Tamandua tetradactyla: one gene and its partners. The protein of the gene in region 2 purifies or fractionates together with the protein of the main gene of each other region. This does not show direct contact. Links are inferred from orthologs where the notes say so. Each region holds a gene or a part of one and is shown on either strand. Other genes may lie near its edges. The genes, in order: NOLC1, CHD4, ZMYM3 and SMARCC1.

Region 1 (6,901 bases), on a different chromosome or scaffold from region 2:
GATCATTGCTCAGAAAGTCCCCAGGTTCTTCTTCATAGTTAACCTATTCCGCACCCACCACCACCCCTTGGTCACTAGAAGCCAGGATTCTAGGTTTCTTCCTTTCTAAACTCTTAATTAACTCCCTTCCCTTCTTAAAGCTGCACACCTGGACAGACTTTTTCTTTTTCTCCTCCTCCTCCTCATCACTGGATTCTTCACTGCTGCTACTTTCTGATGCTTTGGCCACAACCTTCCCAGATTGCTGAGGCAGTGTGGTCCGCTTAGCAGACACAGCTGAACAAAAGCAGAGATCCAAGTAAAAATTAGGCACATGGTACACACTAACCACAAATCCTTTTCCCGGAATCACCAATCACAACCTCCTGCCCTGTCTTACCCGCCTTTTTAGCTGGAGGCCCTTGGGTTTTTTCCTCCTCACTGCTATCCTCACTGCTGTCACTGGATGAAGTCTTCTTAGCCTTCTTAGTCACCGGTCCATTTACCTGTAACTTCCGCTTTGGGGCCTTAGCAGACCTGTTGACATACATTAGACTAACTTCTGGGGATCAGGACCTTCCTAAACCAAGGAACACAGCCTAACAAGGAATAAAAAACACTGAGGAACACAGCTCACTCAGCCCGCCACAGAGAAAAAATAGCCAAAGTGGAAGAGGGAAGGCTTACTTGAGCCAGAAGCTATAGATATCCAAAAGGGAAGAGGCATTGGCATCCTGCTGTGTCTGTAAAAAAAAAAAAAAAGAGAGAGAACTGGATAAGGAAATTTTATTCTGGTTCTTCAAGGAAGGATCATGTTTTGCGTTATTCTTTCATTAAATGTGACCTATTAATCCCAACTACATTTGGTATAAACGGTACATATTACTATGTCTACTTGCACAAATCAGGAGAAAAACATCTGATCTATTTGCGTATTTCCCAATTTTGGATACCAAATACTTGGGCTATTCATGAGATTTTTATGGCACCATCACCACCACGTATATGAAAGGCTTAAAAGAACATGCATTTCCTTTATTCTACCATTGTCTTATTTGGAGTTTATCCTTACCCATGAAACAAGGAAATTAAACATTTATACAAGTGGGTGTTTTTGGCAATGTGGTTTATAATACCAAATCACTGGAAGAGAAGATTGGTAAATAACTGCTATACAGACAGTATAGAATTGCATTCAATTATTAGCACTCATATAGATTATAAATTGATTCCAAAAGATGGTAAGGCATTACAATACAAACAAGAGTGCAGATTCAGTCAGATAACTATAGATATGAAACCACCTCTGCCAGTTATAGCTGTGTGACTATGGGCATATTACCTAATCTCTCTGAGACTGTTTTCTTCTCTAAAAAAAGGAAATAATACTATCCATTTCATTAAATTGCAGAAAGAATAAGAGATAATATGGGTGCATGGGGGGTTCAGTGGCAGAATGCTTGCCTTCCATGCAGGAGACCCAGGTTCAATTCCTGGACCATGCACCCCTCCCCCCCAAAATAATACAAAGAATAAGAGATAATGCATGTGAAAGGGCTTAACAGCTGGCCCCTCACTATCCCTCCACAAATATTAATTTTGTCTTGTAAAACCCAAGAATCCTGACTCTGAAAGGCCCAATTACATCCAACCCATTATGGAAATTTTCTTTGCAGCCTCCCTGACATTCAATTCAAAACTGTTCCAATAAGAAAGCAGTTATATAAGTTTACATGGTACTGTGTCCCAGCTAAGGAAGTTCTTTCTGAGGTTGAGCCAATCGCCCTCTTTCACAGCCTGGTTCTGCTACAAAAACAAGACTACCTTCTTGGTCGTGTAATGTCTACACTGCAAACTACCACTCTAATCTCTCTCCAGGTGTTTCCCCAGGGTGCTCTTCCTGATATGTGGATTCCAAACCTTTCAGATCCTGGTCATCGTCCTCTTATATATGTTTGGAACAATTCTAAGTTATCATAGCTAAGGGAACAGCTTTCAATCATTGATGTTTCCTGTACAGAACTTAGTATATATCATCTTACGGAAATTCACCAAAAAAACCCCAAAGTGGATAACAGCATCTCTGTATAAATAGAAACAGACTCAGAGAGATCAAGCAAGCTGCCTAAGCTACACTCTACTAATGGTAGACCTGGTATCTTTGCTAAGTCAAAGATCCACCGTTACGTTTGCTTGATAGGGCTATGAGGTTCAATCCTTCTGCTTCAGTATAACAAGAGCAGAACCCTGCCTCTACGCTAATTTATTTTCTTCTTTATTAACGAAAATTCTAGCCTTCATTTCTGAAGCAATTTCATTCACCTTGAGTCCGAGGTAAATGAAGTCGTCAATTAGGTCAAGTCACGCTCTGTCTCAGTCAACTAAAAGCCCACCAAGGGCCGCCAACGATTTCGGTGGGGTACGGTGACCCTTCATTGCAGCACTCCGCCAACCCATGTGACTTGGGCCACGCGGGTCCCATGCTGCAGCCAATGCACCGCTCACCAAGAAAAAGCAGCAAGATTCAGTACTACCTATTCAGACCTCGAGGAAAAGGAGGCGCGACGCTCCAGGCCCTCTGCTGCCACCGCCGAGAGCTCGGCACAAAGGCCTCCGCAGAGACCAGGCGGGCAGACCCCAGAGACTTTCCTATTCGGAACCCTAAGCATATCAGGGCCTGGAGTCTTGTGGTCGTCCCACCCTGTCCAGTGCCCCAAGCTCGGGACTTACAACGCCTGTCGCCTTGGCGAACTTGTTTGCCACCTCCGAGAGCTGGTTATCGCGCAGAAAGCCGAGAACGAGGGGATACAGATCGCTGGGAAGCACGCGGCGCAAGCCGATGTCCGCCATATTCCAGGATACACACGTCACTACCGTCGTCGACACAGTGCTACTTAGAAACTGCAGGAGGTAGGCAGGCGCCCTGTAACGTCATTACGCCGCGCGGGCGCATACCGGAAAGGCAGGTATTCCACAGAGCAGTCCCGCCTCCGTGTCGGAGGCAAGGTCAAGGCGGAAGCCGAAAACTCCTTCCGGTCCTAAGCGTGTCGTCTTCATGGTAAGGGCGGAGCTCGCGGTCCGCCACTTTGTGTGGGCGGAGCCCTGACGTAAAGGCCACGCCCTCGGCCGTGGCGGGAAACCTCGGCGTTTCCCGCGCGTTACACTTTTGTAGGAGGTTCTTTTCTCAGAGTATCGGCATTCCGGTCTCCAGCTGGAATTGGTATTCCACAGTAATGCATGGGCCGCCCGGTTCAAGCTGTCCTTTACTCCCTAGACTTGGTCACAAACCCTCCCAATTGTCCCCATTCAGTGGGTTCCCCCTTCATCTTCACTGCCTCCAGCACCCAATGAGACACTTTTCTCAGATACCACTTCAGCCTCCAAACTCACCCCTCCGTTACAAAGGATTCCTCAGGTTATCGGTGGTGGTTGTTGATCCCCCAAACCACCCGACAGGATCTGTCCCTGCACCTCCCGTAGATATAAGGCAGCTCCCCTCCCATTACTTTTTCATCATTAGCTCCATGAAGAGAAATCCTGCACCCAACCCAGTCACATAGCAAGTCCTAAAAATAACTCCGCTACCTCCTGGATAAGAGTTCACACTGTGAACTAGAGAACTGCCGCCCAATTAGTTACCATGAGTAACTAATATAAAACCTCGGGTTCATAAAGAAATTCCAATTTCTGCCATATTTCAGTTCACATTAGCAGGCAGCAATCCCTTCAATCCTACCAACCTTCATCACTTTCCATTAATGCATTACATCAGGAAGGGTAAGAATCACTTCCTCATGGGCTACCCCTCTACTCTACTTTTCTCAAAACAGGCACCCCCCCCAGGTGTAACTCCGTGTCCCTGTTCCCTAGAAAGAAGCTGGCCCCATCTGTCCACATGCATGTATTCTTTAAACACCTGAGCACTTTCTGTGCACCAAACATTGTGCTCAAGCTAAAATGGTAAACAAAACTGAATGGTTTATGTAACCAGAGATCCAGTTTGGGGAACCTTTATTTGGAATAAGTTTGACTTTCCTTAGGTCTTTGCTATTGCAGGCCCTTCCTGGACAGCAGCAGGAACATCCTCTTGTTAGAAACGCAGATCCCATCCCAGAAGGTCTAAGAATCTGCATTCTAAAAAGAGCTCCCTATGATTCAATGACTTTGAAGTTTCAGCACTGACCACCATGACTGATTTCTCAAAGAATACATTCAAATCCAGTGGACTCTGCACCTGACCAGAGAGGTCCTAGGATCGTGATGGAAATGAGCATCTCCCTGGTTGTGTTTAAAGAAAAGTGAATATATTTGGCACTAGCACCACAGAAAGAAACACAAGAGCACTTGGGAGTTCTCTCTAGTTCATTTTTATTAGTCTGCATAGTGATTTAGATGTTCCAACAATGGGCGAACCCCTCAGCTCCACCCATTTTACACAGGAATGCAAGTTAACTTGTTTCAATACCTGTTATAAAAAACAAATACCCCTTTAAAAAAATCTGATTTTACACATTTTTTATTTCACTTTTTTTCCATTTCTTTACAAAACAGTCATCTCCTCACTAGCAGCTCTCTCCCCTAGAGTGGGGGAGGTGGGGTGGAGGAGGTTGGGCACCTCCGAAGAAAAAAGGGGAGAAAGGGCCCAGGGTTACCTCCGGAGGTTCTTCTGGGCCTGTTTCAACAATGTGTCAAAGTCAAGAGAATCAAATTTGCTCTTTACAGGGGCAGGGTCAAAGTCTTCCCGGTTGGAGTCTATAAAAGGAGAGAGACCAGTAATTTCAAGATTATGAGGTCTCTGACCGTCACTTCCCAAACACAGGGTCCTCAAATGGCCAGCAACCTCCCATCCCAATAATGGATGAAGCTTTAAGTGTCCTGATTTTCTGTCAAAGACACCAAAGCCCCCACTTCTCCTCTCATCCCACCCCTTAGGTTCTTCATTTGTCAGATGAAGATAAGTCTGCCTAGCTCCACCCTCAAAGGGTTGGGACCACTTCTAGGAAGGTGATGAAGAGTGCCAAAGCCTCAGGCCCTCTTTCCACTCACCAAGATCGGAATAGCTCCTCTTGCAAAACTGTCTGCGGCCCCCAAAGCAGAGATCAAAAGGCTGCTCATCTGCCTGCCGCAACTTGTGGCCGCTCTCAATGGCTGCAAATGCCTCCTCAGCATAGCGGTAAGTGACGAAGCCATAGTTGTCACTGGTGGGAAGGGTGAAGCATGGGCTGGAGTGGCCACTTGGGCACAGGTTGACAGAGTATCTGGGGTGGTTTCTTCTCATTACCCAACCAGCCAACTCTCTGACTGAGGAAATAAAGGTGTCCCAGAGCAAGGGGAAAAAGACAAAGAAGCATCAAGATAGCTAAATGGGACAGAAAGGACATCCTAACCTTAGGGCAGAAGCTTACCCTTGGACACGGAAGTGAATGGTGCACTCCTCAATCTCTCCAAAAACAGAGAACCTCTGTTTCAGCTCTGACCGAGTCATGCGGCCAGGTATCTTCCCAATGAAGACCACCCTTCTCTCTTCCTATTTTGGGACAAGGAAAATCAACATACCATGAGCCAGGACAGTCAGCTGTAGTTGACTCTCTAAGCTTGTAACTCAGGGGCAAGTCCAAGGTCCCATCACCTGTTCCTCTACTCACTATTGCACGCTCCTTCTGCAGGACTCTCTGCCTTTGGTAATGATCATGTGAACGATAAGAGCTGTACCTGACAGGAGGAAAAGGTACCATCAGCCCCTAGACATACATCAATTCAAGACTCGAAACTTGAGGTACCTGCCCAGGTACCACTGACATCCTATACACACGCTCACCGCCGCCTCCTGTCACTTCTTCGGCGAGGGGATGGAGAGCGGGAACGGCTGCAGGAACTGGATGAGGAAGACGAGGAAGATGCAGAGGAAGATGACGATGAGGAAGAACATCTTCGGGAACGTCCAGAGGAACTGCAGCTGGACCTGGAGAATAAAGGACCATGCAAAAATGCTGGAAGTGGTACAGGTATACTCCACTTGCATCACCCCGGCTCCTGCCCTGACTTCTCGTCAGAAGGTTCAGGACCAGAGGTAAAGTAGAATAGAAGAGGTCTAGAACAGTTATCTTCACAGATAAACAAAGTATCTGGACAGAAATCATTTTTATTTTCAATTGTGCAATTCAAAATTGAAAGAGTTATCAAAAAGAAAATAAATGGAAACCTAGAGAGATAAAGGGCTGAGCCCTAGGTCTCTCTGTGGTGTTGGGAGCCAGACCTGAGTCTCTGGGTTTCTCCTTCTTTACCATATCTCATAGGACTGCTCCACTATAGAATAAAGGGTAGGTGACTGTGCTAGACTTATAGTAGGGGCCACTTCTGAAGATATCTACCGCCAACAAAAACCAAAAACTTCACTGATTAAGTGGGAAATTTTGGATCTGTTATTAAAAGACACCACCAGGAAATAGATGAGGCACCCAAAGGACTTCGGGAATGACTGTTTCCAATGAAGAATTAACCCACTCTTCCACCTTCTCCCATACCACCAGGAAAATGCCATAATTGAGGATTGATAAAGTATGTGAAGGAATCAACATGGTCAAGAGCAAACCCTAACAGTCTCCTCAAGGCATGTCTCAAGGAAGCAGGAGACCTCAGGGACAACCCAAACTCCAACAAAGAATGGAAGCTATCTTCCCACAGTTTGCCTCCTTCAACAACTCAGGAAAGGGGGGAAAGACAAAAGCCAAAGACAGAAGTGGAAGACCTAGTGCCTGAAAGTATCAAACTTAATGTGCAAAAGCTTTCAAAAGAAACCATTGTACATGAACTTCCTAAATGGAGAGGACCTAACAGGCCATCAGAGCTCACCTGCGCCATCTCTTGTGTGGGGGGGAGAGGGACCGGGACCGGGATCGGGATGAGGAAGACGACGATGAGG
Region 2 (6,966 bases):
CCAACCCGTCCCACTCAGCCCAGGATCAGGCCAGGCACAAGAAAGCCCCTCCCATTCCCTTGGGAATGGAACACCAGCCTGGATCTCACCAGAAAGAATCATTTTCTTAAGGGCTTCTCCCCAGCAATCCCCATGTCACCCCCTGAATCAGCTACATCTCGGTTCTTCTTCTTCGCCACCTCCGTAAAAGCTGTAAGTAGAGACAAGGGCAAACCCATGGAGGCAAAGGGGCCACCCTTACATTCCACATGCGACCCCAAAACTTGTCAGGCAGACAATATGCTGATGTGGCAAGTGGCAAACTGGCTGAGATATAGACGAAGATTTGGGAAAGGGGCAGGAATGGGGTGTGGCAAGTGGAAAAACTGGGTCATACTACAGCTTGGGGCAGAGTTCACGCTGCACAGCTCCCAGTCAACACTGGGCTGCCCCACACCAAGTGACCAATGGGAGGCCAAGAGGTAGAAGCAACAATGGCTCAATAACATTATTAATTCTCATGCCCCTCACAGAAAGGACAAGCTCTCCTACCACCACAACCACTCTACCTTGGGCAACAGCACAGAAAGTTACCACCCTACCCAACATAATGATAAGACTCAAGCCTATGAGACTCAAGCCTAAGTTTTCTATCTCAACAACTGAAGTCTCAGAAACATGCAAAGAAGACACCATGGCTGGTCCCTCGCTTTAGTGACCTCTGGCTGAGATGAAGACTTCCAACTTAGAAAATGCCAAATGTGGAAGCATGTCTCCCAAATCACCTCAACTTCCGGCTGGAGCTAAGACAGAAAACAGAAGTGAAAGACATTAGATGGGAAATATAAACAGGATCGGCAGGCTCCAGAATGAGGAGAAAAAATATAAGCAGAGAGGCTGAAGAAATGGCATGTAGCAAAAACAAGCTAGAAAAAAGGTCAAGGACCAGTAGGTAACTTAGCTAGGAGTTCTGAAGAAAGGAAGACAAGAGAGATACCCACTTAGGAGCATGAGATCAATCATCATTTAAGGATAGACAAGGTTATAACCATTCGAGTTAGGCCAATCCAAGGAGCCACCCCAAAACACAGATAACACAACCCCCAACACACCTACATAAACACTGCAAAACACCCCAACCACCCCAAACCTCAGGCTACTTACACAGTGGCAGACACCCCGAGGAACAAAGCCAGAATTATGTCCACTTGCCAGAGGAGGAGGGGTGCCCAGGGTGTCGCCTCCCTTCTTCTGCCCCACCTATTTTGCTCTTAGGGCTATTATATCATCCCCTAGCCCCCATCTCCGCTCAAAACATTCCAGCAATCTGCCTGGCTATAAGCACTCTAGATCCCGGCTGAGGAGCGCAATTCAAACTTCACCGTTGAAACAGTACAGAAAGCCAGTGACTGATCAGAAGCTAAAAATCAAATAGAGAGTAACCAGCACTCTCTCCTTCCTTTCCACAGTAGCAACCATAGGATCCTACTAGCACAGATACACACATGCCCCAATCTAACAGCTTCCAGGGGTCCCGGCTACCTGCATTCCTCCAAGGATCCCCACATGTAATCATGCCTGCCAGTCTGCAGCGCTCTCTCCATGGGGAACTGCATAGCATTCCTCAAGACCAGTGCAGCAAGCAGGCATCCACGCAGTCCAAGGTGCCCAGGAGGCACATGGCTTCCACCATCCCAGCCCCCCACCCCCCACCCCCCACCCCACAAGAGCTCTGCAGAAGGGAACCGCTTCCTTCCAAGGCCCTCCACCTCAGACTCTGCACAGAAAGACCAGAAACTCAGCACCGCTTCACCAGAGTCAGCAGGGAGGACCCAAAAGCCTCCTTCCCATCCTGGACCCTTGGGGATGATGTTACCTGGGTGGGGTGGGGGCAGGCTGTTGTTCAAAAGTGCATCCATATCCTCCTCTTCACTGCCCGCTGAGCAGGGGGACGGGGAGCCCAGGCCCGACGCCATCCCCTTCCGTTCCTGGCCAGGGAATTGGCCCAGCTGCTCCTGCCTGCGGCCTGGGGCCCTCGACACTGGCCCGAGTCACTGTGCGGGGGAGGGGGGAAAGAAAGAGAGACAGTCAGTGACGCGCACTGTCCCCCTCCCCCACACCCACCCGCTCTTTCCGCCCACCAGCTACAGCAGCACCCCCACCCCAACACCCGAACCACTCAGGCTGAACTTAGTTCCACACTCCTCCTCGGGGGCAGCCCGGAAGCCAGCTCCCCAACAGGAGCCCCCAGATGAGAGGGAGCGACGCCCCCGAAGGCAGGCTGGTGCTGGCGTGGGGAAGGGAGAAACAGGGCTGGACCGGGCAGGGTGTGACGGGGTGGGGGTGGGGGTTGGGGGCGTCCGAGTGGCCGCGGCCGGAGGAGGCGGGCGGCGAGGCGCTCGGGGACACAAGGTCACTTGGGTGGGGGGGGCGCTTTCCTGCTCCCGGGGAGGGGCCAGTCCCCAGACAGGGCAGCTCTCCAAAGGCTGTCCTCTGGGACAACTCAGGTTCTCCTCAGGAGCCGCGGGGACAAGGGGGCGTGGAAGCTCGGGCGCTCCGGGGGTGCTGGAGTCAGGGACGTGGGGGCAAGAGAGCCCCCAGCGGGAAGGGGGCCGGGCCACGTGTCCCGGGGGGCAAGTGAGCAGAGGGCGAGGGGACCGGCGCCGGGCATTGTGGAGGACCAAGCCCGGGGATGAGGGTGCGGGAGCGAGACTTGGAGCCGGCTGCGGCGGGAGGAGGCTGGGCACCCTGCAGGGAAGGGAAAGGCAGGGTCGGCTCCCCCGGACAGGGGGCGGTCCACGGGTCTGGGGGCGCCTGAGGATAGAGCGGGTGAAGGGACGACCCTCGGGGCTTGCCGGGCTGCGAGGCGCGTCTCTCTAAGAACCCCGCGTTCTCCTCACCCCGGAGCCGCTGCAGGTCGCGTAGGGTCCGGCCCGGTGTCACTCCCGCTCCAGCTCCTCCTTGCCGCGGCCGAAGGGGGGAAAATGGCTCCGGCTCCGGCGTCGCCTCTTAAAGGGCCCGAAACACCGGCCGGGAAATCCCACCGCACAGGCCCCGCCCCCCCGCGGACAGCCCATAATAACCTCAACCAACTCCAACCCCCCCTCCACTACCGCTACCCTCCTCCCTAGGTCTCCCGGGCAACCCCCGCCCCCTCGTCGCTCAGGCAACCATTGGCCACGCCCCCTTCGAGCGCGCGCGCGCGTGTCACCCGGGCAACCGCCCACCTCTTGGCCATCCCATAATACACACGGACACCCACCCCCGACCCCCACACACACACATTACACACACACTCCACACATATATATGCCAGGGCTGCTGACATCCCATAATATTGCAGACCATTTACAACTAACCCTCTCCCCCCCAGACATCCCATAATAGCCATCCTTCTGCCAACTTCTTCACTCTTCACCCTAATACTAACATCCCATAATAATCGTCACCTCTCCCTCCCCGTGGCCATCCCATAATAAGCACCCCTCCCAGCACTGGAGCCTTACATCCCATAATACTCATACCCATCCCCCACAGACATCCCATAATAACCACTCTTCATCCACCCCCAGTTTGATATCCCATAATAGTCAGAAATTCACCCCCCTACACACACTACAACAACGGACACTGGGCCTCCTCCCACACATATCCCATAATAATCAGTCTCCCACTTTTTCTACTGACATCCCATAATAACCAACCCCCTAGAGCTGCCCTAGGTCCCTGCCGGCTAGGGTCTAGATAGATCCTTTCAACACCATCCCCATCCTTCATGCTCTCACTCTAGCTCCACAGCTTATAACATCCACTCCTCCCCTATAAAAAGTTCTATCCCCTGATGATCAACAGCCCTACCGCCACCGGGCAGGTGGGCATCTAATCACCTTTCCCCTAACACTGGAAAGATTTCCCATAATTTTATTCCCCCACTCATACCCTGACATCCCATAATAATTGCAAGCAAGGTGCCCTGGGTCAACCAGTGGGTACCAAAATACTCCCAGCACTACTCAACATCACTTTCCACAATGCTTCATCTCCACCCCACCACTCCTATACCCTTCTGCCAGGCATCCCATAATATTCATGTTCATCCCTCCCCATCTCCTGAAGAAGCTGTCTGTTCTAACACCTAGAGTACAGAGGGCAAAGCAGATTACCCACACTGCCCTGTCCCCGCCCAAAGTTGTACACACTTTCAGCTCTTTCTGGGCCAAATCAGTACCCTAGCATAAATCCTCTTAATGTCTAGAACCCTAGTTTTTTGCTTCCTGTTATTTCCAGACAGACACTAGAGATCTGAGAGCCAGCATAGGGCCCCACCCAATCCCACTAAAATCCAGGTATACTCCATATTCATCTCCTGCCCTTAAACGTTGAGTAAAACTGACAAAATACCATGCTTGCCAGATGAACCATTACATAAAGTTTAATTCACAACATGGCATCCTATAATAAGTGCAAAATCACATCCAAAGACTATTTTTCAACATGCCAGCAATGTCATTGTCTTCCCATCATGATGTGAACGAAGACCAAGAGCTAGGACCTGCTCTCCTTCTACTTACTACTTACTACTATTTGTGTTCATTCAACAGATGTTGACAGAGCACAGAGCTCAGCACAAAGGGGGATGCAAAGAAGGCAGTTGATGCCTCCCTTTAAGACGCATTACCAAACAAGCAAACTGTGACACAAGATAGAAATGTTTTGGTGTCAAGGAAGAACGACTGAGTGCTATTTCCCAATTTCCCATTACAGAGAGTAAAACACATCCCAACTCGTCTCAGGACAGATGCTATCTTAGTGGAGGTTCTTGGGGGTCCTTCTAGAGTCAGGAAGATATTGAAAAATATTACCATGTAGATGAATGGCCAAAATAATCTCCTAACTATTCCCTACACACTGAGAGATTTTGATAGGAAGGCAATGCTTCTCCATTTACCACTCCTAATACAAAATTCTATAATATCATCGCGGGTTTTCTTCTTGAGAGACTCATCAATATTATCAACCATTACCTTCATTCTTGAACACCAAATTCTGCTTACCCAGTAAGTCTCATATTTTTCAACCACTTTCACATTTGATATTCTGAAGTCTCACAATACCTCCAATTGTCCCTGCCCCAATCTTCTTGAGGCCCCATTCTCCACCTAAAGACCTTAGTTGTATAATGTTCACCGTACCTACAAACATCCCAGGATGCCTTCCTCAGTCAGTTATACTACAAGGTAGCCTCCCAACATATTCCATTTTCTTCCTTACCTGCCCCTACCCTCTAGCCACCCTGGGGCCCCAGCCCTGGAGAGTCAAAAGAGCTGTTTTAAAACCTTTTGGCCCTCGGAGACTCTGAACCCATAAGCCTGTCACTTTCCCCTCCTCCCAAGCCCCAGAGATGTAAGACCTGAGCGAGAACCAATGTTTCAGCACCACTGTCTTGGGGTACCAGCCCCTTCCCTTAAGCCAGAGATAGTGTCTTCCTGGACTCCCATTTGTCTTTTTCACACAGATCATAACTTATATAGGGAGGACAGTCTGAAGAGAAACTAGAATTCCCTCCTAGGAGGGTTCCTTCCCAACCAGAAGTAAATGGGATGACTCTCCCTCCATCTCTTCATTGCCCTTATTTCCCTAGAGAAAGGGCATTACCAGATGATTTTCCCCTCCTTTGGAAACTTAAGGACTGGGAAAACTGGCAAGTAGAGATGAGTTGAGGAGAGGTGAGAGCTTGTTTCCAGAATTTACAATCCTTTTGCTTCCAAGCAGAGCACCAGTGCTGCTGCTAAGTCTTCCCACCTGCTCCTGCCTATTTTGTATAACCACCAGCATTCCGTGTTTCACTCTCTTCTCACCTTAGGACTGGAGTTTTCAACATCAAAGACCTCAAGTCTTGGCACTCACTACCACCTTTGTAGTTCCTATATTCTTTTTCTGACATTTGCTCCAACTCCCTGGACACTCTGTTACCATACCTATTGTAGCATGCTTCCACTGCATGCAAGGCTACATAGAATCTCTCTCATTAAATTCTCAACATCAAGATTAATCCCCATTCATTTTTCTAAACTGTTCCCCATGCTTATACCAGACACTAAGAATGAATTTTGCACTCCTCACTAGGGGGAAAAGGGGCATCTCCCATAAAATGGCTAAATATCAGTTTACCTCTCTTCAAGGAAGTTTCTCCTTTGCATTTAGAGCTGCCAGATACCTATTTTTGCCCTCCTCTCTCCCTGTTCCTCTAAGGGATCCAGCCTGTTTCTGGACCTCAGCTTCCCTTCTGTAATATCTCCATCTACCCAATACCCTTTTCCATATATATATATACCACTTTACCACAGTGATTCACAATAGAAATCAGAGTTTTCGAAGTGGGGACTCACAGCCTCTTGCCCATGATTAGAAATATTGTTCCCATTTACCCACTGTACTCCCTCTACCCCATCCCTGCAGGTACTACCTACTTATTCTCTCCCTTCCCTTACTTCCCATTTCCCCAAAACCACCACAAGGAGAAGGCTAAAATCTCTTCCTCTCCTAGCAAGGGCTAGGATATATGTTTGTGTGTTGCTTTTGTGGTCTTCATGCCTCTATGCCTCCCCCTCCCTCCCCTGGCCCCATACTACCCTCCCAGATAAATTATAAATAAACCACCAGCTTGATTGGCCCACAGAGACCAAGGGTGGGATAATCTCCTGATTAATGCACCCAGGGGGACAGCCTCTCTAGCCCGTTACCTTAGAGTTCTGTTTGCATCCCATGGTACAGAAGAACCTAGAATAACACTCCGAGTGAGTTGCCCATGGAGTTTTCAGCATATGCTCTAGATTTCCTCCCCCTACACCTCTGATTTGCGTGAGACCAGGAAACTCTGTTCATGAGACGGAGGCCTAAGGGGCACAGTGTTGGGCTCCATGAAGAAAGGGGGATTGGGAAGACAACATCAGGAAGAAAAGCCACAGGGACAGTAAGCTCTGATGG
Region 3 (7,825 bases), on a different chromosome or scaffold from region 2:
TAAGGGTAAGGGGATGTATGAGGCTTCTTTCTTTTGTGTTGGTTTGAAAGGATTTATGTACCCTAGGAAAACCATGTTTTAAACCTAATCAATCTTGCAGGAGCAACCATTTCTTCAACCTCTATTCAATACTATGGGCTGGAAACTTGATTAGGTTATTCCACGGAGATGTAACTCACCTAATTCTGAGTATTAACTTTTGAATAGAGGGAGCTGTTTCTCCACCCATTCCAGGTGGGTCTTCATTACTTTACTGGAAGCCTTTACAAGAGGAAGCATTTTGGAGAAAGCTTGAGGATGACAGGAACAGCAGAGACACATGAACTACAGAGACCACCAGCCAGCAACCTTTGGAGATAAAGAAGGAGAACGCCCCTGGGGGAGCTTCATGAAGCAAAAGGCCTGGAGAGGAAGCTAGAAGACATCACTATGGTCTCCATGTGCCTTTCCAGTTGAGAGAGAAACCCTGAACTTCACCAGCCTTTCTTGAGTTAAGGTAACCTCTTGTGATTGCCTTAATTTGGACATTTTTATAGACTTGCTTAAATTAGGACATTTTCTTGGCCTTAGAATTGTAAACTAGCAACTTATTAAATTCCCCTTTTTAAAGCCCGTCCCATTCTGGTGTATTGCATTCCAGCAGCTTGCAAACTAGAACACTTTATAGTCTGAAGTGATGCAAATGTTTTAAAAACGATCAAGGTGATGAATACACAACTATGTGATTATATTGTGAGCCATTGATTGTACGCCATGTATGGACTGTACATTTGTGAATATTTGTCAATAAAAATACTTAAAAACTAGTGATTCAGCAATCATAACTCATTTGTTAAATCCTCTATTCTGTTACACCTCCTCCTTCTTTTCTGATTCTTCTCCCAATCTATAGGGATCTTTGGACAAGACCCGTTTTAACTTTTTCATGTTCAGAAAGGGGTCGACACTAAAAATAGGGGACTCTAATTAATTGGTTATCTTGGACCGGCTAGTCCCTCTGGGTTTCAGGATTTATCTGACCTAAGAACCCTCCTGGAGTTATAGGTTCCAGGAAAGCAAACTTAGTGCATGAAACTTTTATAGAGTCTCAGTCTGAGCGTAGTTGTTTTTAAGAGTCAACAGGAGTGATGTTGGTTGGGGGTTAGCAAACCATGGCAATTAGCACTATGTAACTAAAGCTTGCATAAGAGCAACCTCCAGAATAGCATCTTGACTCCATTTGATCTCTCTTGGCTACATGTTTCTTTTATAAAGATAATAGTTACCAACATTATTGAGAACCTGCTATATGTCAGGCAAAGGTCACATCTCACTTAATCTCAATAGCATCCCTATGAGTTATTATTTTTTTACTCTTTAACTTTTAGTTTTGAAGTTATTTCAAACTTACAAGACAGATGCGAAATTAACACAAAACCCACACAGAGAACTCCAACACCTAGATACTCAGATCCACCAATTTTCAACATTTCTTCTACATTTGCTGTATCACTCAGCATATCAGTCCATTTATCTACCCATTTATCTATTTTTTAAACCTTTGAAAGCAGGTTGTATATATCAGCTCCTTGAACACTTAATACTCCCACATATATTGCCTAAGAATAAGGAGATTCACTTATGTAACCACCTTAAGTACAATGATCAATTTCAAGGAATTTGACATTGAGATAAAACTTATAAGTATATTCCAATTTTTTCATATGTCTCAGTAATGTCCTTTTGGGCCTTTACTCCTCCATTATTAGACCTCATTCAGGATTATTTACTTGTCATTGTTTCCTTAGTTGTTTTTTTGTACCTGTATGGTAGCATATATACCACATAAACTTTCCCATCTCAACCACTCCCAAGCATACTATTCAGTGGGATTAATCACATTCATAATGTTGCACTCCCTTCATACCATCCATTTCCAGAATTTTCCCATCGCCCCAAACAGAAATCCCTCGCCCATCAGGTATCAACTCCCTATTCCCCCTCTCCCCACCCCGCCCCTGGTAACCTGTACTCTACTTTCGGTCTCTATGAATTTGCAAGTTTTGTTAGCTATTTCATATGCGTGGAATCATCCAATATCTGTCCATTTGTGTCTGACTTATTTCACTTGACATGATGCCTTCAAAGTTCTTCCATGTTTTTGCATGCATCAGAACTTCATTCCTATTTTAAGGCTAATACTCCATTGTATGTATATACCATATTTTGCTTATTCATTCATCTGTTGATGGACATTTGGATTGCTTCTACCTTTTGGCTATTGTGACTCGTGCTGCTATGAACATTGGTGTACAAATATCTGTCTGAATTCCTGCTTTCTGTTCTTTCAAGTAAATTTCCAGAAGTGGGACTGTCGGGTCATATGGTAGCCGTATGCTTAAGTTTTTGAGGAATTGCCAAGGTGTTTTCCACTGGTGCTGCACCATTGTACATTCCCACTAACAATGAACCAATACATCCTCGTCAGCACTTTATTACTTTCCACTTAAAAAAAAAAAATAGTCCCTTTATGGATATGAGGCCTATGGGTATTATTATCCCCACTTTATGTTTGTGGACAACTAACATTCAGAATAGTCCCATAAGTACTGAATCACAGAATCAGTATTTGGACCCTTATCTTTCTGACTGAAAAAGGAAGTCTCTTTCTATTATGCACACTGGCTCCTTAGAAAACAAATTATTGAAAGCCTATCATGTGCCTGGCACATTATTTCTAATCCTTCCAAACTTCCTTCCTACTTTACCCTGCAAAGTAGGTATTAATATCCTCATTTTAAAATGTTAATATTTCTCCTGATTATAAGAGCAATATGTGTTAGTAGACAAATTTAGAAAATAAAGAGAAGCAATGCAAGAAACTATTTTTTAAACTCATATATATTCCAACCACACATAATTACTCTAAAAATGTTGATGTATTTCTTTCCAGTCATTTCGTATGCATACGTGGTAAAAATAGATTTTTTTCTATAAAATTAGGATATTTTAACTCCTTTTTGACATTTAATATTCTATGAGTATTTTTGCATGTAATTGGTTTTTCAAAATGTGGTTGTTAATGATGACATACATTGCATGACAGTAACTAAATTGATTTAACCTAGTGCCTATTATTGGACACTTAAGACTGTTTCCTCACCTCTGTTTAAGGATGAGAAAAGTAAACCCCAGTGACTTGACAAGTCACTTGTCCCAAGTTATCTGGCTAGAAAGCAGGCTGAGTTGAGATTAGAATTTTGGTCTAGCTGACTCTAGAACTCAAGCACTTTATACACCACACCAGCTCTAGAAATAATAATACACCATTAACTGCCCTTCCATTTTCTCCTCTCAACTTGAAAGCTAGTGACAAAGCACTCTCCACAACCAGAACAGCAAAGGATCCAAGCATGAGGAACACAGATAATACAAAAGAACTAGGTGGCCCAACTGAGATGGAACAAACTGAAAAACAACAGGGAGGCACAAGGACATAGAAATAAGCAGAAGGTGGGAGATGGGTACACAGAACACTGATTGAGATAAGGAGAAAGCTGCAGTTGTGAAATTTAAAAGGAAAAAAAAAGCTTTTGCTTTTGTCTTTATATGTATATAGGAAAGAGCAAAGATAACCTCAAGGCCATGTGAGGAACTGGGAGGGATAAGGTTTCTGGAAAAGCGGATGAGTAAAGGGAGGATAAAACTTGGGAGGACTATAAGGCTAGGAGAGGCTTAGGGTGGGAAGGAGAAAAGTCCCGAGGGCAAAGAGTCAGGCTACAGTATTCAATACCAGCCACCAAGCCTACAAGTTCTGTGGCTGAACTCCCTTCCAGCAGGAGCCTCCTCCAATATCTCAGCTATTAAATACCCCTTAAGAGCTGGGGAGGAAAGGTGAGAAGCAGGGATTGTAAAGTGCTCTAACTATAATGAGGACTGAGAAAGGATCCTTGCACACTTGTTTAAAGCCCTGGCCTAAGGCTAGTGCCCCCTCCCCCCATCCCACCTCTCTAGCCTCAACCTCAGCCACACCCACATGTTAAGGACCATCCAGGAGGGGGGAGCGTGTGTGTGTGAGTGCGTGTGTATTTACACGCATGCAAGCTCGTGCATAGAAGAGACAGAGACGGAGACAAAAAGAGACCGGGGAGAGAGAGAGAGAAAGAGCGCGCGCGAGGAAGAGAGAGAGCAAAAAGAGACAGACAAGGACAGAAAGAGAGAGGGAGAAAGAGTGGAAGCAAAAGACAGACAGACGGGAGACAGAAAGGGAGGGAGGAGGGCTATCGGCCCTGGTGAGAAAAACTATTCCAGAGATAATGCAGGGAGCTCTTGTAGGAGGACTCAGGAAGAAGATCCTAGAACTTACCCTAAGACCGCTGAGGGAGTGTGTGTGTGTGTGTGTAGGGGGGGGTGTCTTTGCAGGGCCTGGATTTGGGGGGCATCAGCAATAATGGTCACTGCATAGGCGTTGACACTGAGCCAGAGCCATTTAACCCGCCCGGGGTGGCTGGAGACCAAGCTTAAGACGCCTCAAAACTACGACCCTTCGACTGGTTAGGGGGGCCCGAGGCTGTAGACAAGGGGAGGAGGGGCACGTGAAGGCTGGGTCCCTGCCTCCCTCCACCCTCTGCTGTCACTCATTACCCCAACAGTCGCCCCGGGGGCAGGCCCCGGAGAGGTGGGGATGGGGGGAGGGTAAGCTTGGCAGGCGCCTGCTGCATGGCGTAGGTAGTGACTGTTGAGGGGGGGCGGATGCCGGAGGGTTGAACACGAGTGGGAAGAGAAGAGAGACACGGGGAGGGGGAGGGGACCGGGAACCATTTGAATGAGAGGAGGGGATCACGGGTAGAGTGGGCTCCAGGAGGTAGGGCGGGCACGGGTGTGACGGGGGCCAGACTCTTGGGCCAGGTAAGGGAAGCAGGTGCGTAGATCTGTGTTTTCTGTGGGTTAGTGTACTCGGCCCCTTGGTGAAAAGGGGGCGACGCCTTTCCCGGGGGCGGGCTTCAAAGCTCCAGAGGCTATCTTTTCCTGCTCAACTAACGGGGCCCCGGGCGGGGGCTCAAGCTCCATCTCCAACGACCAAACTCCACTCCGCAATTTCCAGGCGGCCACTGGGCTGGGAGTCTCGCGCCGGGGGCCGGCGCTGTCTCGCGAGCCCCCTCCTCGAGCCAGCCAATGGGGTTGGTTGCTGGCGCCGCCCGCCCGCCTGGTGCAGAGCGCTGGGCGCTGTGAGCGGCGCTGCCATTTAAAGGGGCCGCGACCCCTGTCCCGGCTGCTAGGGAGGGAGGTGGAGAAGGAGCGCGGGGCCATCGCTGTCTGCAGTTCTAGGCTTGTAGCGGTTACACTAACCCTGCCGCAGGTAGGGGTCGGGCCTGATCCAGCCGAACCGAACCTGCAGGCGGGAGCTCGCAGTAGCCGGGAGGGGGGTCTAAGGAGAGATCGTAGCTCCAAAATGTCTTCCTGTAAATGCCTGAGGTGGGGGGTGGGCAACAGGAGAAGGGAGGACTGGGGGAGCAATAGGAAAAGGGGACGGGGTTGAGGAAGTGGGCGACCCTGAAAGGTAATTGGGGGGGAGGGGTTAGGAAGGGCAGTTTGTGGGGGCGGGGGAAGGGCCAAGGGAGGACCATGCTACGCGGGGAGGGGGGGTGGGGCTAGACAGGGTGGGTAAAGACTGGGGAGCTGGGGGGGCTTTAAGGGGAATGGGAAGGAAATAGAAACTGAGATCGCGGGGGCGGGAAAGCCTCCGGGTGGCGAAGGCCCTAGGAGACTCTTAAGGCCGAGTTGGGGGGGGGGGTTGAAAGGTAAGGGGGGAGGGGAAGTGGGAGTTGCAGTCGGGGGTGGGGGTTGCAATCGGGCGGTTGAATGACCCACTGGCTTATTGAGTGTGGGCACAGGGCCAGGGCGGGGAACGCCTCTCCCCACAGGGGGCGCTGTATGGGGAGGGGGGGAGTGGTCTTTTGGACTAAAGCCTGTGGAAATGCTTTTTGGTTGTGGTGATGGGGGCTGTTCATGTGAAATCCAAGTGGATGTTGGGGTGTGTCTCAGAGCCTCCATGAGAAGGAATTCTGGCTAAGACCACCTCTACTTGCCTTCTGTTGTACCCCTGATCTCCAGCCCATATCCGGCCTTCCTCATGGACCCCAGTGATTTCCCCAGTCCATTTGACCCATTGACCCTGCCAGAGAAACCCCTGGCTGGAGACCTTCCAGTGGACATGGAATTTGGAGAAGATCTGCTGGAATCCCAGACTGCCCCGACTCGAGGATGGGTCCCCCCTGGCCCTTCTCCATCCTCTGGAGCCCTGGACCTGCTTGATACCCCTGCTGGTCTGGAAAAAGACCCTGGAGTCCTAGGTGGAGCCACTGAGCTGCTGGGGCTGGGGGGGCTGCTCTATAAAGCCCCCTCACCCCCAGAAGTGGACCATGGTCCTGAGGGGACCCTTGCGTGGGATGCAGGGGATCAGACCCTAGAGCCTGGACCAGGGGGCCAGACCCCTGAGGTGGTGCCACCTGACCCAGGGACTGGGGCAAACCCCTCTTCTCCCCAGGGGCTACTAGAGCCTTTGGCCCCAGATTCTCCAATAACCCTGCAGTCTCCCCATATTGAAGAGGAGGAGACCAGTTCCATTACTACAGGGAGAAGGGATCCCCCTGGGCAGGAGGAGGAGCTTCCCCGAGGGCAGCCACAGAGCCCCAATGGCCCCCCCAGTCCTTCAGTGGGAGAGACTCTGGGGGATGGAATCAACGGTTCTCAGACCAAACCTAGGGGCCCCAGCCCCCCTGCACACCCTTCCTTGCCAGGTAGGTTGCCTAATCAGATGATGAATTGAGGCTGGGCAGAGAGGGTGGGTGTAAGGAGGAGTGGCTCTGTGTTTGGGGGAAGAAGCAGGAGAGGAGGAGAATGGAGAGGGAAGAGTAGAGGTGTGGGAGGGGGTAAGAAGGCGGAGGTTTGGGAGGGAGGAGTGGGGATGTGGTGAAGAAGAGGAAGGAAAGTAGGGGTGAGGGGAAGCACAGGGGGTGTGGAGGGAGGGATAGGGGTGAGGTATCAGGGTGGTGGGTTGGGGGGAGTGGTTTTGATGGGAGATGTTCCCTTTTATTATTACTCAAATGGGCTTTTGGTGCCAGGATCCATCCCTCAGGATTTAGGGAAGAAAATAGGCTTCTTGGTTCTAAGATCTCTGCAACTGTTTTATTCTAAATGGGAGTGGGGTTTCTGGGTTTGATGAATGACAACTAGATTCTGGAGCCACCAAGAGCATAAAGATTTCAGGAGAATGGTAGAAATGTAGAGTGTGTCTCTGATGTGGGAGGGGCAGCCTGAACGTGAGAAGCTCCAGTTCCTCCCCTGTTTGGCCTAGTCCTGTTCCTCTCCCAGGCTGTGTGTGCCCAGGGTCCTAGGGCTTTTATATAACCAACCACCTGAGGCCAGAGGAACCTACCCATACATTTGTACTTCCTTTCCCCCTTGCTGCTGTTGGGTGGTTGCATTTGTCTTTGTTGGTAAAACAAATTCTGGATGAAAGGTGTGTTATCTGTGTTTCCTTAACTCCCAATGATTGAGGACAGAAAAGCTGATGGGAAGGGTAGGGGTGCTTTTTGTTTTCATAGAGAGTAGCTGCGCCCTGCCCCCTTAGTACAGAGCCCAAGGTAACCAGGGGAGGGGCCCCAAGAAGCCACAGACACTCGAGTTTTCCCTTTCAGTTTTGAGTAAGTTCTTTCCCTGAATTGGGAGGTGGGGGTTGGGGCAGGGTGGGGTGGGCAAGGGCAGGCTCAAGATTTAGGCTACCTTCTGCTTCCTTTGCAGGAGATGGCCTGACTGGGAAGGCGAGTGAGAAGCCGCCTGAGAG
Region 4 (7,763 bases), on a different chromosome or scaffold from region 2:
GGCAAAAAACATAAGGTCAAAAGACAAAATAATAGATTGGAAAAAATAATTCGTAATACAAAGGGTTCATATCCCTAATATATAAGCAGGTTTTACAAATTGCTAAGAAAAAGAAAAACCACCCAAGGAAAAACTGGGGAATAGGTATGTTAGGTTAAGGCTATGAAAAGGAAATTCAAAAGAACAATGCAGATGACTAATAAACACATGAAGCGATAGCTTCACTGTTCGTCAAGAAAAGGCAAATTATAACAACAGTGAGAAACTAGTTTTTACTTATTAAATTAGCAAAATTTGATGATAGCATTCCATGCTGGTAAAAATGTGTGGAAGAGAGTATATAGGCCCTCTCATATATTATTGTTGGGAGTATGGAAAGGAGCAGTGTTGGGAAAAATAATCTGCCAATATTTAATAAATTACAGACCATGTATGATTTAGAGTTCCACTTTTGGGGGCTCTATCTTAAAGAATAAAAACACTAGTTTATAAGATTATATGTTAAAGCTATTTAATGTTGCACTGTTTGTAATAGTAAAGAAAACAAAACTGGGAAACAACCTGAATGGTCAAGAATAACAGATGTTAAATGTTGAAACAATAATTTCTACAGAATATTAGGAAGTGAAACTGGAGGAAGACCTGCGATATACTGCTAAGTAAAAAAGATTCTATCGCAGATTATGTTTATATTATCTTCCCATTTTCATTTAAAAAACAACTAAAGACATTTATATACATCTTTTAAAAAATGGTACCAGTAATGTCATGTTTATTTCATACAGTTGCTGAGATTTAAACTGCAGCTGCGATGAAAATGCAATATAAAATATGCAGTACTGAACGCAATAGCAATGTTTACTTAAAACCCATCACTGAGCACACCAAGTAGACATATACTGCATAGAAAAGAAGCAAAGAATCTTCTGGTTAGTGTTTTCACCACTCCCAGAGGGGACGGAATTCAACTGACTATGAGGACTGAGGGTATACAATTTTGAATCTGAGTAGGCCCAAGGTGCTTTAAGAAGCCAAGAGAAGTCAAACCTAACTTTATCTTTAAGGTGATAGGGACACTGAACAACATTAATCACTCTGGGACAAACCATTCAGTAGGCCTCACAGCCATTTCTGCACCCACCCAAACAAATCTCTGAAGGATTATCATAGTATGAAACTGTTCTTCTAAAGTTGGGTGGAAACCAACGCACACTATGTTTTGGGAGCTAAAAGTGACTATTTGCCATTTTCTTCCTTGATATCCAAATACCTCCTGGGTATTTTTCTTTGTTAAAGCTACACTGAATTTAAGACTCAAAGCATTAGCTGAAGGTGACCTGATAAAAGAATTAACTACTTTCACAATATATTTAATTCCCTTACAGCGCATCCACAAGCTCCACTGATTAAAAAAAAAAGGGGGGGGGGGCAGACGGCAATTTTATCATCGTAAAATAAGGGATAAACATATTCCTGTCTATTTATGTGTAGATGAGAAAAACCTATAGTTCCAGATGTGACTCCAATATTTCAGGCAAAAAAAGTCAAGGCATTTACAACTTATTGTCTCTCACATCCTGAAACTTTAGATCAGAAATGTCATTTTTGAAAATATAGCAGTGTAATGTCAAAAGAGCCTAAGATCCATGCCCATGCCCTAACAACTGCAAAAGGGTGACCGGCTTCACTGTGGAGACCCCAAATAAGTAAATTCCTAGTCTAATTTATCTGTTCATTCAACAAATACTTACAATTATTAAGGGTGAAGCACTGAGTACTAACCATGTTGAAGGAAGGACACACTGCAGTGAACAGGCCTGACAAGGCACCTGACCCTGTGCTATTGTCCTCAACGGAGAAACGGAAGAATGCGTTCCAAGAAATGGGGGGGTGGGGGGGCCCTGAAGGAGAGGTGTATGGGGCTTTCTTCATTATACCCTCAAAAAGAATCATTCCTGAACATTCTCTTAAAGAAGTAGCTAAAGAAAAAAACCCTTTTATTATAAACAAGATTTAAGTCTAAACTTCGAAAAACAATGCTTCAGTGGAAATCACATTCCAAAGTCGGAGACAAATTGGTAAATAAAAAATAATTTCAAAAAGTGGTAAACATTAGAAAGTAAAGGTGATATGAAGTGGGGTGACCTAATATAAATGGGGTCCTTAAGGAAGACCTCAATGAGGACACATTAAGTACAAGAGAACATTAACTCTTATCCTCACACCAGAAACTTCAATAAAAGCATTACATAACCAAAAGCACAATGAAGTAAAAACCATCATTTTTAAAAAAATATTAGTACTCATCAATACTATAACTCATTGTATTAACCTGCTGTTAACTACTGAATACAAGAGTCCATAGTTCTTCTTTGGCAAATAAACAAATAGTCTCTAAACAAAACACGAAGCTGGTTCACCCAGTTCATAATGATCATTGTTCACACACCTATGCAGCTAACAAAAGAAGATTCACGTTCTCCCGGCTACTGAGCTCGACCTATTCTTGCAGCCTAGAAAGAGAAGGGGATTTCACCCCGGCGTGTGTGAGTTCAAAAGAAGTTAGTCAGGCCCCGAGCTCGCTGCAGCCGAGAATGGGTGGCGGGGGCGTGGCAGGCCCGGAACCGGCCTTTGTTGTCCCTCGTGGCGTGCGGAGGGGGAGGGGCGGCCCGAGGCCCACGAGGCAAGAAGCCGTCTCTGGCCCCCGGCGCGTGACCTCCCCGCTACTACGGGCACGCGAACCTACCTTCTTGTAGTGTTTGCCCAGCCACACGCGCACCGAATCCAACTGGGACACGGTCTCCGGGCTCTCCCAAAACTTGCTGACTGGGCCTCCGTCCTTCCGCCGATAAACAGCAAGACCTGCGGCGGTAGCCGTCCCTCCGACACCCGCACCGCCCGCGGCCGTCGCCGACCCACCGCCGCTCGCTGCCGCGGCCATCGTCGCCGTCCGTCGTCCCCACCGCCCGGCCCGCCCAGGCCCTCGCGGCGCTGCCCTTTCACAGCCACCCGCTCACAGCCGCACCCGCGCGCGCCGCCGCGGCCACCACCGCCCCCCGGCCCCGCCCAGCTAATCCTCTTCCGGCGTGGATAGCCAGCTCCGCCCCATTTCAGGACGGGCGCCCTGACGCGAGCACGCGCATACGCATGCGCAGAACGTGTGCCGGGCGGGTGACCACTGACAAGCACTTCGACCCGCCACTTCCGCCCGCCGCGGTTGGCTGCCGACTGTCTGTGCCGCGCGGTTTAGGCCTCTGAGCATCTATCTCCTCTCCGGCTCCCGTGTCAGATAATTGTGCGGTCAGAACCCGCATAGCCGTTCTATTTCATTGTCTGCCACCGTCGGAGAGAAAAGGCTGGGTGTCAGAAGTGTCGAGGGGAAAGTCCGTTGAAGATGTCGAGTGCCGACAGAGAGACCCACGTGTGGGGTGGGATTCTGCGTAGGTTGCCCTCTGGCCCTCTACTCGGAGCGGCTACGTCGACCTTTGTAAACGTCCATCAGGGTCTCCATTACCGGAACTGCTTACGCTTCTTCGGCCGTCCGCCTTCTTCCTGGCTCTAGCCACACCAGTTTATCTAACTTCGCTCTTCTCTTATGTAACGTACGAAACTGAGTGAGCATCTTTTTTATGCTTTATCAAACTCTTCTCCAAGTTTGATCAGCTTCTAACATTTTATCCTTTGCACTTTCCATATCATGAAAAAGTTCCTTTAATGGGAGGTTTTTTTTACCGGCATCACATCCGTTGAGACATCCTCATCTGTTTTTTCACAAACATTTTCTTCATTATGTGGATAAGTTTGACTTCACTACACTCCTCTGGCTGCATATAGAGTCTTTTTGGTACTGTCAGTGTCAGTATCCCCTTGTCAGCTATTCCGTCTATAATATCATTTCTGTTTGAATTTCATGTCCAGCTATCACTTCTCATTTCTTCGATGCATTTTCATCTTTGTTCCCTCTTTTGATCACTCAGTAGGGAGGCAACACAATAATATGCCTTGCTTGCTGTGTGTGAACTGAATAACAAATGCACAGTGACTAGTCACAGATTTTTTCTCATTCACATTCAGTATTTTTATTTAATTTTCTAGCAATTTACATACCTCACCACATCTTTCTTTAAGTTAGTGTGACTAACTTAAAGTCACACTTTAAGTTTATTTTCCATGATAAACTACTTAAAGAGACACTTTGGTCAAGAATGGAAAAATCACTGCCACTTTTAAAAACCTGACACTTTCACCAATTATATTCAAACAAAAGCATACACAATAAATGCGTGCTATATACTCAATGTTTCCTTGCAACTGGCTTTCCTACCGTCAAGCAAATAACTGCACACAGTCAGTCAAGGTTTATCATGCTAGATTCCAGAGGTTCACTCAGCTTCACATTATTTGAAGTCCTAAATAGAAAACTCTAAAGCTCTTGAAATCCCAAATTTCTACGGCCACATTGATGCCAGTGGTGCAAAACTTGTGACAGTTTGCTTGTCCACCTCATAAACAGACACTCAAGTGATGCTATTCTAGTGTGGCAACTCCAAGGTTGTACGGTTCTCAGTTATGGTCCTCTTGTCCGTTTTTCAGAACTGTTTCATGGTGCTGGATGCTGTCTTGGAATGTCTAGTTTGGAGACAAAGATTGAGCAGCTGCAATCATGATAGTTAAGGCACTGGGCAGCAGTCATGGCCAACAGCTACGACACTAGTCTTGGAGATATATGGTACACTCAGGAATATCAGGAACTCCATTTTCATTTCCATTTTTGGAAACTTGCATTTTTTGTTGTTGTTGAGGCATCAGCAATGGACATGGTGCTGTTACAGCTTACCCAGGCAAGATGACTCCCACTGGGAGAGAGGCTGACCCTCTGGACCCAGTCACCAATGCCGCCACAACCAAAGTCTGACATCAGCTGACCAAAAAACATCTTGCTGTCCTATGGTATACAGGCTGGTTTTTTATCCACTTCTTTAATGTAGGCAGAAAACACTCTGCATTTGAAGTGGGATACTCCTACTGTAAGCAATAACAGTGTTAAGCTGAGGACCATGGAAGGACTATGCTTTTTAACATGCTTGCTTACCCACTAGTCATTTTCAGATACAAAGTACCAAACAGAAATGAGTACTGCTCCACTTCCCACAGCAAATTTGTTCTTTAGAGTGGACCACTTCATAAAAGTGGCTGAATGATTAATTCTCAGGATCACCAGGGTTTGCTTCCAGCCATTTTTCTAATTCCAGACACAGGCATTGAGGTCTAACCTGCAAGTGATGATGCATTTGCTCTAGGGAGCTGTTTTAGTTCACTAAAGCTGCTGAAATGCCATGTACCAGAAATGGGCTGGCTTATAACAATAGGTATTTATTAGTTTACAGACTTACAGTTCTGAGGCCATTGAAAATTCCAAATCAAGGCATCAACCGGCAATCCAGCGATCTTGAAGTCTTTCAGTTGAAAAGACATGGCAACATCTGCTGGTCCTTCTCTTCTCAGTTTTGTTCCTTTCAGCTTCTGGCTGCCCAATCTGTGGCTTGCTTTCTGAATTTGTCTTTTGACTACTGTGTCTGAATTTCATCCTCTTACGAAGTTCTCCAATAAAAGGATTAATAAGACCCACCTGGGTTATACATCAACTGAAATAATCTAATCAAAGGGTCCCACCCACAGCAGGATTAACACCTACAGGAATGAGTTAACTTTAAGAAAATTATCTTTTCTGGGGTCCAATTCAACTTCAAAAAACCACAGAAGCCCAGTCAATACCTATGATGTATTCATTGTGCTCCTAGAGTTCATGAGCTTTCACCCATTGACTACCATTCTTATAGATACGGACTTCGAGGTTATTGAAGTTAAGGACAATGCAGGTATGATCCTCGGTTCAGGCATGAATGGTGACTGGATCTGGTAAGTATTCAAAGGGTAGAAAGCTGGACTAAGGCAGACTGGACAAACTTTGAGTGGAGAATTTGTGGACTTTGGTCTCTCAACATGAAAAGACTCTGGCTTCACCAACAGATTTTGAAACAAAGAAAAGTGGCATGATTGGTCATTCATTGATCATGAGACACATCTGTTATTTAGATAGTGACTTGTGGACTGAAGAGCTAGCAGTGAAGTTTACATTTTATATAGTTACACTTAATATACTATGGTAAATGAAGTGAGAACTATGTTGTTGGGAGACTGGTGTTATATAATTAAGATTTATGCATGTTAGAACTGTGCAAAGCAAGGACAACCTGCATTTAACATGATGTCTGTAAACATTGCAGAATTGAAGAAATGAGTCCTCAAATCAAATGTGCACACTGAATGCCATGGTGGACAAATAAAAATGAATACTCATTGGGACATGGTGCAATGAAACGGCAGAACATGAAATACAAAGAAAGAAACCTTAAATGATACCAGAGAAAAAAGATACTAAACCTACAAGGAAAAGAAATTCAACAGCATTCTTCCTAACACTAATAGATGTAGACAATGGGATAATCTTCCATTTAATGAGGAGAAAAACTGTCAATCTAGAGTTGTATATCCAGCTAAACTCTCTTTCTAGACTGAGGATAGGATAAAGGCATTTACAGTTATGTAATGAATAAGCAATTACACAGCAACTCTTACTGAAAGAACCTACTATACTAAAAAATGTACTTTGCAAGAAGAACATTTAACCCTGCAGAAAGGAGTGGGATATAATAAATAATGACACACGCTGATATTAGTAAAATATATTTCAAATTTTAATTTACTATTGACTAGTAAAATACCTTTTTATGCAGAAATAAAAGAAGGAACAAAAACCTTAGGTAAAAATAGAAGGTTATACAAGGCTGTGTGTCATTTATGATGTTTTTGGCAGCAAGGAACAGAAACCCTGACTCAAAACTGGTTTAAAGTATAAGGAATTCTATTAAATTGCAAAGGAGTAAGCCCTCAGGTAGGACAGACCTCATAGGTGATGGATTCAGGAGCTCAACAGTGTCATCAATGAACCAAATTCTTAACATTTCTGTTTTCTGTCCTCAGGGTAAGCCTCATACTCAGGTTTCTAGCAATATGGCTGTACCAGTACTCAGTAGGTCTCAGGAAACTCCTCTTCATGTTTCAATGACTACAATTGAGCAATTTTTGTATTTTTATCCCTGGCAAGATACAATGCCTTCTGACATAGAGTTAGGCCAGATGAAAGGTACAGTCCTCCGAAAGATTTCCCATGCTTCAGAAACTAGCCACAAGGTCAGGGAAGATATCCACAGCCACCCTGACTTTGGATCAACTGGCTATAAATTTGGTGGTTCCCCTGCCCTCTCAGGTTTGATAATATACTATCATAAGTCACTGAAGTTGAAGAACTGCTATACTTACAATTTTATTATTGCAAAAAAAGGAAACAAATAAGAAGGAGCCAAATGAAGAGACCCAAAGGACAAGAACCAGAAGCTCCATTGTCCACTCCCTGTGGAGTCAGGACATATAGCCATCCTGGCACATTGATGTGTGACAATATATAGAGTATTATCAGCCAGGAAAGCACACCTGAATGTCAGTGTCCAGAGTTTTTATTGGAGTTTCATTACATAGGCATGATAGGCTGAATCATCGATCAGGTAATTTAGCTCAATATCTAGTCTCCCTCTGCTTCCTTGATGTTAGGGTCAAAATCTGAACTCAAATCACATGGTTGGTCTTTCTGGCATGGCCAGCCTCCATTCTGAGACATCTCCTTAGCACAAATTTGGGGCTCA

The links.
Region 1: the proteins of CHD4 (region 2) and NOLC1 purify together in Homo sapiens (affinity purification with mass spectrometry, with the first as the bait; 3 studies listed by BioGRID). This does not show direct contact. The link is inferred for Tamandua tetradactyla from reciprocal best matches to the Homo sapiens genes CHD4 and NOLC1.
Region 3: the proteins of CHD4 (region 2) and ZMYM3 purify together in Homo sapiens (affinity purification with mass spectrometry; 3 studies listed by BioGRID, with this or other methods). This does not show direct contact. The link is inferred for Tamandua tetradactyla from reciprocal best matches to the Homo sapiens genes CHD4 and ZMYM3.
Region 4: the proteins of CHD4 (region 2) and SMARCC1 purify together in Homo sapiens (affinity purification with western blotting; 6 studies listed by BioGRID, with this or other methods). This does not show direct contact. The link is inferred for Tamandua tetradactyla from reciprocal best matches to the Homo sapiens genes CHD4 and SMARCC1.

What each region holds. Positions count from the first base shown.
Region 1 is NC_135339.1:64,002,870-64,009,770, reverse strand, and holds the start of NOLC1 (nucleolar and coiled-body phosphoprotein 1), read right to left. Parts: upstream 3,005-6,901; 5' UTR 2,830-3,004; coding exon 2,710-2,829; intron 723-2,709; coding exon 667-722; intron 560-666; exon of another isoform or gene 531-559; coding exon of another isoform or gene 517-530; coding exon 380-516; intron 277-379; coding exon 149-276; intron 1-148. Other genes in the region: PPRC1 (peroxisome proliferator-activated receptor gamma coactivator-related protein 1), read right to left, coding at 4,628-4,731, 5,026-5,177, 5,385-5,506, 5,625-5,691, 5,798-5,941, 6,832-6,901. UniProt on the Homo sapiens protein: Nucleolar protein that acts as a regulator of RNA polymerase I by connecting RNA polymerase I with enzymes responsible for ribosomal processing and modification.
Region 2 is NC_135333.1:68,890,034-68,896,999, forward strand, and holds the start of CHD4 (chromodomain-helicase-DNA-binding protein 4), read right to left. Parts: upstream 3,006-6,966; 5' UTR 2,880-3,005; intron 2,299-2,879; exon of another isoform or gene 2,087-2,298; intron 2,034-2,086; 5' UTR 1,956-2,033; coding exon 1,856-1,955; intron 1,640-1,855; exon of another isoform or gene 103-1,639; coding exon of another isoform or gene 90-102; intron 1-89. UniProt on the Homo sapiens protein: ATP-dependent chromatin-remodeling factor that binds and distorts nucleosomal DNA. Acts as a component of the histone deacetylase NuRD complex which participates in the remodeling of chromatin.
Region 3 is NC_135353.1:100,364,085-100,371,909, forward strand, and holds the start of ZMYM3 (zinc finger MYM-type protein 3), read left to right. Parts: upstream 1-4,812; 5' UTR 4,813-4,887; intron 4,888-5,198; exon of another isoform or gene 5,199-5,338; intron 5,339-6,093; 5' UTR 6,094-6,112; coding exon 6,113-6,779; intron 6,780-7,782; coding exon 7,783-7,825. UniProt on the Homo sapiens protein: Plays a role in the regulation of cell morphology and cytoskeletal organization.
Region 4 is NC_135341.1:38,772,710-38,780,472, reverse strand, and holds the start of SMARCC1 (SWI/SNF complex subunit SMARCC1), read right to left. Parts: upstream 3,017-7,763; 5' UTR 2,942-3,016; coding exon 2,747-2,941; intron 2,625-2,746; exon of another isoform or gene 2,450-2,624; intron 1-2,449. UniProt on the Homo sapiens protein: Involved in transcriptional activation and repression of select genes by chromatin remodeling (alteration of DNA-nucleosome topology).